Linked DNA regions of Cricetulus griseus. The protein of the gene in region 2 binds, or shares a complex with, the protein of the main gene of each other region. Links are inferred from orthologs where the notes say so. Each region holds a gene or a part of one and is shown on either strand. Other genes may lie near its edges.

Region 1 (4,454 bases), on a different chromosome or scaffold from region 2:
GTTAATAAGCAGCTGGCTGTAATATAATCACCAGTTTAGATTATTGTTAATAAACACATAATCTTAATGGCTGACTCAGAGAACAGAAAATGGTACAGTTTAGAGTACTGAGGTTGTCTGTAGAAGAGGCTTGGGGAAAAAGTACTATCAGGACATTACTATTGATTACAAAGCACTGAAGACTTGCAGTCATTTGTGTCTTTTTTAGTAAAATTTCTTAAATTTTAGAAGATTGTCTTCAAGAAATTTTAAACAGACACATCTTATATCCATATTCTCTTTTCTTTTTTTAAATAATTGGAGCAATAAATAAAGATTTCTTTTCAAAGAAAATTTGGAAATTATTGATATAATGTGCCTATTTATACTTGTTAAACTAATAAAAATATGGAGAAAATGAAAAAGCATTAATTCCTTGCTCTTTCATCGAGTCCCTGGAGGCTAAGAATAGTAAGTGAAAAACTAAAAACAATAGCTAAACAACAAAAATCTGAGAGACAAAGGAAACAGAAGGTATATATAGTATAGAAAATTATATACACTAATTTTCATCTTTTAGTCTAAGTAATCAATAAATATTATCTAAAGATGATAACCCAAGAATTTGTTTATGTATATGTGTGTGTCACATGTATGGGGTGCCACAGTGGCCAGAAGAGGGTACTGGGTCCCATGGCACTAAAGTTACAGAAAGTTGTAAGCCACCTGATGCAGGTACTTCAAACCCAATTTGGCTCCTCTGGAAGAATAGCAAGTGCTCTAAGCGGCTGATTAATGAATGCAACTTTTAGAATAATAAATGCAACCTTCAGAAGAACCACAAGTTAACCATCAACAGTAGAGCCTGTGGAGACTGGAGAGTTAAAAGACACACTTTATTTTACACCTGTACACAATATGTACTTTCCTAGTATGTCCCTGGATTCATATTGACTCTGGTTTGTTAACCTATCAATAATCAGGCAGTTTTTTAAAAATCCACCGTACTTCATCCTCTGCACCTAATAGCCATGGACTGTCAACTTTGAAAATGGAGCACTCTTTAAAGCAGTGGTTCTCAACCCCTTTAAGCAGAGATCAAAGGACCCTTTCACAGGGCCATCTAAGACCACCAGAAAACACAGATATTTACATTACAACTGGTAACAATAGCAAAATCACAGTTATGAAGCAGCAATAAAATTAATTTTATGGTTGGGGATCACCCCAACTTGAGGAACTGTATTAAAGGGCCACATCATTAGGAAGGTTTAGAACTAGGGTTCTAAGTAAAATATCTATTAAATTATCATAAAGTTGTGTGATTTGTCCTGGAGGGGGGACTGTGGTTCTTTCAATCTTGCAAAGTTTGTTCATGTCTAGCCATGAAACAAAATGGCTAAAGCGGCTATGAAAACTACCAACTTATATTAAAAAAACTCACAAGAAAAGAAATAACGAAAATGTGTTTGGGGGATTGTTTTAAAGTCATAACCTCTCTCGCCTATATTTTAACTAACAACAGTGCTTACTGTAAGTCCTACAAATTAGTCCTGAAATCAGCGGATGTTACAGAGGCTGGCCTCCAAGAGTCTAAGGCCTTTTGTGAAAGCATTAAGACATGGAGCTCCAGTGCTCTTTGAAATGAAAACAAGAAAGCAATCCGAAGGTCTGCTATCTTCACTGATCCCCTCAGGAATGTAAAAGCACGCATAGCACTTTTAACCTTGTGGTACTCCAAGTTTTTAAAAGCAATCTGCCTAGACAAGCAGTTGGGTTTTCTGTTAATCCCTACTTTTCAGTCCCCATGCTCACACTCACTAGTGCTCCTCAATGATCTCAAGCCACAAACCGAATTCAAAGAAAGGGAAGAACTTTACGGTAAGTCATGATAGAGAATTATTTGATGCAATGATCTCTTAGAACTGGATTACTTTTGGCAGCCACATTAATTTAAAGGCCTGGTGACCAACTGAGCGAAGAAAACCACAGGAGTTAAAGCTGTCTTCTCACTTTTCCATATCTCTCACTAAAGAAGGGCTTCCAAAATGTAGATCAGCATATTTGCCACTAAATTCTGACCATACCTAAGGAGCCAGGGCACATCCTAAAAAAAAAAAAAAAATTTGACTTTAGTATTAAATTTAATTCCTATACTGGCTATATGACCCTAGTCCAGACTCACTTCATGAACTCTCCAACGGCGAAGGGCAGATACAAATCTGGTTTACAAAATCGGAGGCTTCAGGCCTGTCGGTAATGAAGAGAGCCAGCTAACAGGAGCAGTCCAGGCTTCCGAACCCACAGCAGCACCCTCAAAATCCTCAATCCACCCAGTTGCAAATCTCTCAGTCAGCTGATTTGTTCTCCCCTCCGGGTGCACCTACTCTTCTCCACTGACTCCTTGGCGACCTACGCTCATTCGTCCCGGGTGCCACCAACCGCGCCCCTCGCCGCCCCCACGATGGCTCGTGCCCCACCACCAAGACCCTAGCCCGCCAACCCGGGCCGAGCCCGCCCACGCCCGCGCGGTCACTCACCCGCGGTAGTAGGCTTTCACCCGGACTTGGTGGGAATGGTCCCCGCCGCCGACGCCCGCGACCGTGTGGGACATAGTGCTGCTGTCCCTCTGGGTCGGCATCTCCTCACTCCCCCGCCTCGCCGCCGGAGGCCGAGGGGGCCGGGGCAGTGCCGGGCGACGCGAGGGAGCTGGCCGCCTGAGTGTGTCGGGAAGCCGTGGGCGCCCGCCTCGCCGACTTGCCCGCCTTGCCCGCGGCGCTGCGCGAAGGGTCGCCTCGCCGCCACAGCCCGAACCCCGACGCTCCTCCCGCCGCGCTGCACAACACGCCTCCCGCCGCGGCTCCTCCCACCACGCTCGCTCCCAAGGCCGCATACCGCGGCGGGCGGGCGCAGGAGCTGCGGAGCCCCGGCGCTCTCATCCTTACGGGGGAGGACAGGGTAGCAGCGGGAACGGGATCCGCCAGTCTACCACAAGACTATATGAAAGGGAGTAGATCTTGGAAATTCAAATAATTTCTAAAATTCAGCTTTTAAACCGAAATTTTCCTGCGAAACATCTATAGGGCACACACATGCGTAGAGTTGATCCCCCCATTCTTGTACTTGGTCGCGTCCTCAGCGAGCCTGCTGTGCTTCCTGGATGGATTTGCTGCGCGCGGGTTTCTGGGATTTGGAGTCCCGGTGGGATTCTGGGACGTGCTTCTTAAGTATAGGGAGCCGCGTTTTCTGCTTCTATCTCCTGCTTCCTGGGATTCTAGGCATGGACATCCTGAAAACAGCTCGAGTATCTGAGGGCATTGGAAACTTGGCTTCTTCACGATTTAGATTCTGTTTTTAGGTAAAGTCTCCATGCCAATTTCATCGATCACTGAAATTAAACAGTGCCACTTGGGGGAACAAGATTTGATTACCTGCTCAGAACACTCTTTTTATTTTTTCGAAACGGTTTCTCTGACTGTCCTGGAACTCGCTCTGTAGGTCAGGCTGGCTTCGAACTCACAGAGATCCACTTGCCTCTGCCTCCCAAGTGCTGAGATTAAAGGCGTGCGCCACCACTGCCCAGCTCACTCTTTTATTGGGAGAATGTAATGATATAGGTAGCAAAAGCATTAATGAATGCAACGAAAGAAGACACTAAACTGGGAGATATCATACAAGAGATTTCCTCAGGGCCCCCATACCCAGGCCCCCTGTATACTGCTGTTCTATGGAACCAAGTGCCCAATGAATACTTAACTAGCTTTTCAGTTCATTAGCGTTTGTTACTGACACTAGCTAACAGAACTAGAAATAATCAATCATTGTAATTTACTTTCAGACTTCTTCAGGTATTGGCTGTGTCATGTAACCTACTATACTTAAGGCAGCTTGAATCCAGCCACCCAGTCAGCCCAGATAGCAACATATGTAGAGTTGAAATAATCAAAGATAGGGCTTTCTTTATAGTCACAAATTACACTTGGGTGCTTAACTCATGAGAGCTATATGCATGACACTTAATTTGGTATGGCATCAGCCAACAGTCACAAATTTGGAGTATATGAAAGTTCCCACTAACGTATTCTTTTGACAATTAGACATGCATCATCCTATTAAATATGAACTGATTACTATCCACTATAAATTATAGCTAAAACAAGATGGTCAAATTTTTAATTATTTTTTATGTGTGTGCACCACATGCGTTCCTAGTTCCTGAAGAGGCCAGAAGAGGGTGTCAGATCCCCTGGAGCTGGAGCTACATAAATGGTGACCTGTATTGGGCTCTGGGAATCTAACCCAGGTTCCCAGGAAGATTAATCAGTGCCTTATAACTACTGAACCGTCTCTCCAACCCAAGATGGCCAAATTTTAATTGGTTTATTGAAAAATTTTTTATGCTTTGTGATAAATTCGGATTATATAATGCTCTAGAAAAATTAATTGTGACATATAAGGAGTAAATATAAAGAAAT
Region 2 (4,278 bases):
CCACATGGAGAGAGCCAGAGAATAAGAATCCCAGCGCCATCAGAAGCAGGGATAGCATTCGGGGTCCTGAGCACTGTTGGTATTGATGCTGACGCTTCTCTGCTCTTTGTGAACCAGGTCCAGTGCCCTTCCCTACACACCAAGCTGCAGTATCTACCCCTTCCTGTGATATGCTTTCTCCCACTGGCCCACCAATCACGAATCTCCCACCCATGTAGCTGGGACATGATTACCCTCAAGAGATGTCAGATGTGGTCTGGTAGCACACAGTTATCTTAGCATTTGGAAGGCTGAGGCAGGAAGATCCTGAGCTAGAAGACCGCATAGGCCACACAGTGAGATGCTGTTTCAAAAATAAATACATAAATAAAAGAGGTCATCCACATGGGGGACAGTAATCTGAATAGCTGGTGTGGCAGGGCCTAACTATGCAGTCTTGGGCTGATCATGGTACTCCATCCATCCTGCTTCTACTTGGCAGTGACAGTGAGCCCATCCAAAGAGAGCAGGGCCACCAAGGTCAGGGAATTCCTATTCTCAGGAGCAATGCCATGCCGTGTCCAGATCTGACCTCCTTTAGTTAGCCTCGGACTTACAGTCTAGTGTCCAGGACACACTAGAGCATGGTGGCAGCATGGCAAGTCCCCATACTCCTGAGTAGACACCAGCAGGCTCATTTATGGAAGAGAGGCTAGATCCCTTATGTAGTGTCTGTCCTTTGCATCTCACCTCCGATCAATTCCTGAGTCCTATTGTCTTACCTTAAGACACACAGAAGTCACCTTCTCACACTCTGCTCCAGGCCTACCCACTGCCTGCCTAGACCAGTGCTCACTAAGTCACCTATGAAAACCAGCCAGCCATCCCTACCTCCTCCCTGCTGATCCACAGTGAAAGCCAACTCCTCACCATGTGGCCGCTCTCTGGGCATCTCAGTTCACCTGTTTCCCACTCCAAAGGCCTTTGCTCTTTTGCTACGCAGCAGCGCTTGCCAGGGCTTTGACATCTTCTACACTCCTGCCCCCTCCCCCACCAAACTGTGCTTTACCTGGCACTCCTAAATGGCCAGCTCTAAAAGGCCTCCCTAGCTGGTCCTGCCTGCACCATCATCCCAGGGCCACTTCCCACACCCTCATCACACCATGTTTTATCCACAGCACCGGCCAGTCCTGTGAACTACTATATATTTTACTTTTCTGTTTTGGATCTTTGTTCTCATCCTCTTCCCAATGCATACACCATCCCTTCAATGAAGAGTTGTCTCTTTTGGATTCCACTGTGTCCCTAGCAACACGAGGCAGGAATCCAAATTAAACCAGCTTGAGATGCACATCCTATAGGCAACTCCTGGTCTGAGCTGGGCTTGAACCCAACACCCAGGGTAAAAGTCCATGTTCACCTTTGACCACAACCCCAAACTCAAGAATCTGGGGCCTATTTCCTAGGGATCTCCTAACACCCCCTTTGGCAATCAAATCCTTTCCCCAAGATAACCTCTCTCCTATCTCTGCTGCCCACTCAAATTGTGCCTCACCCTCAACTGCTGCCACTGCAGCGCCAGCCAGGGTGAGCCAAGCTGATTCAGAGCCTCACCCCATCTGTGCAGGTCCCTTATACACCTCCATTCACTGGCTAAGACCTATCCTTCTTCTTGCTCCAAGGGGCTCACTCTCATGGTCACCCCAGCAAAAGCAGAGGCTCACATCTGGGGAGCCTCTCCTCTCCTCTCAGGTCTTTGGTAGGCTCTCAGTTACTGTGTCTGTGAATCCTGGCAGCCCCATCATTGCTGCCTGGGACCGCAACAGGAAAAATTGAGCCATGGCAGCACCTCCCCTGAAACATATCTCCTAAGAGAAGTCCAAGGTCCTTAAGCTCTGCTCAGGACGGTAGAAGCTGCTTCAAAACTCTGGGTCCCTACTCCATTGTCATCACACAACAAGGCAAGAAAAATAAGCGGCCCACTCCTTACTGAACCTCAATTTTTTTCACGTACGTAATGGAAATGAGAAATCAAATCCTCAATGGCAGGGGTACATACGGGCTCTTCGATAAAAGTAACATTCAACCCGAGTCCCATCACTCCAGATCAGAGTTAGCCTTGCAGGGCTCTATATTGTTCAGTGCCGGGAAGGTGAGGAGTGAGGCCTTTCCCGGGGCCCCTTCTGCCTCACATCTTTCCAACTTTAGTAAGGTCAGGCCGGCCTGGTTTCAGGGAGATCCAGAATCCACAAGGAGGAAACTGGCCTCGTTTCATGGCGTGGGGGAAACTGAGGATCTATGGTTTAAAATGCAGCTGGGCACACAGACCAGCACATCTCCTAGACTAGGGACCCCAAGACAGGGTTGAGCCTGGACAGAGGGGTGGAAGCTCCGCACTGGGATTTTTCCAGCCCCACCCCCCACTTCTCCCACTCTTGCCCGCCCAGGAGTTGAAGAAAAACAAAACCTGGCCCTGGGTGCCCCTCGGCCGAGCCGGGCCACATTACCAAAAATGAAAGAAAAGAGGCCAAGAGTAAAAGGCAGATAGGCCAGGGGGACCCCAGTGAGCCCAAGGGGCACCCGGGAGAGACCAGGGGTTCAGAGACCCAGGAGCAGAGAAACAAGAGGAGCCAGAAAGCGCACGGCGCAGCGCGGGGCACAACCTGAGACCCCGACCAGGCACGCCCGAGCAGCGCGGCGCTCCCAGGGCAGAGGCGCCCGACGTGGCCCGCCCTGGCCGCCCCCGCCGCCGCACCTTGTGGAAAGCGAAGAGCTCCTGCTTGAGCTTCTCGCGCTGCGGGTCGGCACTCTGCCGCCGGAACCGAAACTTCATCATCTTGTGCCCGCCGCGCCGCCGCCGCCGCCGCCGCCACCGCCGCGGGATGCGCCCGGCCCCGCCGGTCCTGAGGCGCGGGGCGGGGCCTGCACGGAGGCGCGGGACGCCAAGGACGCCCGCCCGCCCGACCCAAGACGTGAGCGTGCCCGCCGTACCGCGCCGCCCCTTGCTCGCCAGACAATGGGCAAGGACCGGGCCCCGGGCTCGCCGGGCTCGCCGGGGGGGGGGGGGAATGACGCATGCGCATTTGTGCAGGGCCTGCTGGGACTTGTAGTCCGGGGGTGGGTCTCCAGCGTGGAAAGCAGGGCTGTGGTTTGGAGAAGGCTGTTTTCCACTCACGACTGAGCTACGTGCACATTCTCATAATGCCAGAGACAATTCCCTATCCCTTCCGGGCCCCACATCCACTATCTTTGCCAATGTCCAGAGATTACCGAGTCTGTGTGTCCAGTTTTCACGGATCACAACTTTGTGTCTTCCTCCAGAGTGTCTCCCACGCCTAGCTTTTTGTCTCAAATATGGATTAGTAAAGAACTCCTCTCTAGGAACCGTGTGTGCTGCTTTAATTACAGCACTTGGGAGGCAGGCAAGACAGGCAGATCTCTCTGAGTTACAGGTCAGCCAGAGCTACACAGGAAAACTACGTCTCAATAATAATAATAATAATAATAATAATAATAATAATAATTCGCTCATCCCTTGGGGAACTCTTATGCATTCTTCAGGACCCAACACAAAGGGTTCGGTTAGCACAGGCTCAGAAGATCCTTGAGAGGGACGGAAGGCAAAGAAAAGGAACTGCAGAAGGTGGCATATGGGGTTAATACTGGCTTTCCCCGAGGTCCCTCTCCTATCCCGACAGGGAACACCGAGAACAAAGCTGCGCCCGCCCCCACTTTCTTCCTGTCCCACCCACCTCCCAAGACTTTTCTCATCTGAACAATGGCCTCTATGCTGAACCTTTTCCTGCAAGCTGAGGGGCTCAAAGCTGGGCGAGATCCTGCGGCCGCCACTCCCCCACCACCACCACATCCCCCTCCTACCAGCTGTGTGAAGAGGAGTTGACCTCTAACCCTGAGGTAGCTGCTCAGCCGCAACAGGGACTTGGCAACCCGCAAACTGCCCAAGGCCAGCTTTGCTCAGCCCTCACTGGAAGCTGAAGCTCATTACTTACTGATCTTTCTGGTGCTGTTGATGAAGTGGTTGGCTTGACAGCAAAGGGCGCCTCCTAGTCTCAACAGGCTTAATAGTTTTAAGAGCTCCCTGAGAGGCACAGATATCACACTGTTTTTGTTTTTTTACCGCGGTATCACCTCAGATCCACAGAGGTTGAAACTACAACAACCAGCACAGACCAAGACCAGACTCCACTGGTCACCAGCCATCATTAGAAGCCGCTCATAGTCCTAGGCAGTAGTCCTTGACCTGCCCCAGGTTAGGTTCCAGCTTGCGGCTGATCAAGT

What was found.
Region 1: the proteins of Llgl1 (region 2) and Prkci are in contact, whole or in part, in a cryo-EM structure (PDB 8R3Y), measured with the Homo sapiens proteins. The link is inferred for Cricetulus griseus from reciprocal best matches to the Homo sapiens genes LLGL1 and PRKCI. Residues at the interface, in NP_004131.4 of Homo sapiens: Ala315, Asp319, Glu367, His391, Ser392, Ala394, Thr396, Glu453, Cys483, Glu484, His485, Phe506, Asp507, Pro508, Tyr509, Ser510, Asp511, Pro513, Gln518, Lys519, Lys569, Ala600, Val601, Thr602, Leu644, Gly648, Pro649, Leu650, Ser651, Arg652; in NP_002731.4 of Homo sapiens: Asp339, Met341, Gln345, Arg348, Leu381, Asp382, Met399, Thr412, Phe413, Cys414, Pro417, Leu425, Glu445, Gly449, Arg450, Ser451, Gly457, Ser458, Ser459, Asp460, Asn461, Pro462, Asp463, Asn465, Thr466, Glu467, Asp468, Tyr469, Leu470, Phe471.

What each region holds. Positions count from the first base shown.
Region 1 is NW_023276806.1:119,648,338-119,652,791, reverse strand, and holds the start of Prkci (protein kinase C iota type), read right to left. Parts: upstream 2,817-4,454; 5' UTR 2,621-2,816; coding exon 2,520-2,620; intron 2,230-2,519; exon of another isoform or gene 2,170-2,229; coding exon of another isoform or gene 2,165-2,169; intron 2,016-2,164; exon of another isoform or gene 2,001-2,015; coding exon of another isoform or gene 1,993-2,000; intron 1-1,992.
Region 2 is NC_048600.1:74,695,018-74,699,295, reverse strand, and holds the start of Llgl1 (lethal(2) giant larvae protein homolog 1), read right to left. Parts: upstream 2,890-4,278; 5' UTR 2,816-2,889; coding exon 2,735-2,815; intron 1-2,734. UniProt on the Homo sapiens protein: Cortical cytoskeleton protein found in a complex involved in maintaining cell polarity and epithelial integrity. Involved in the regulation of mitotic spindle orientation, proliferation, differentiation and tissue organization of neuroepithelial cells.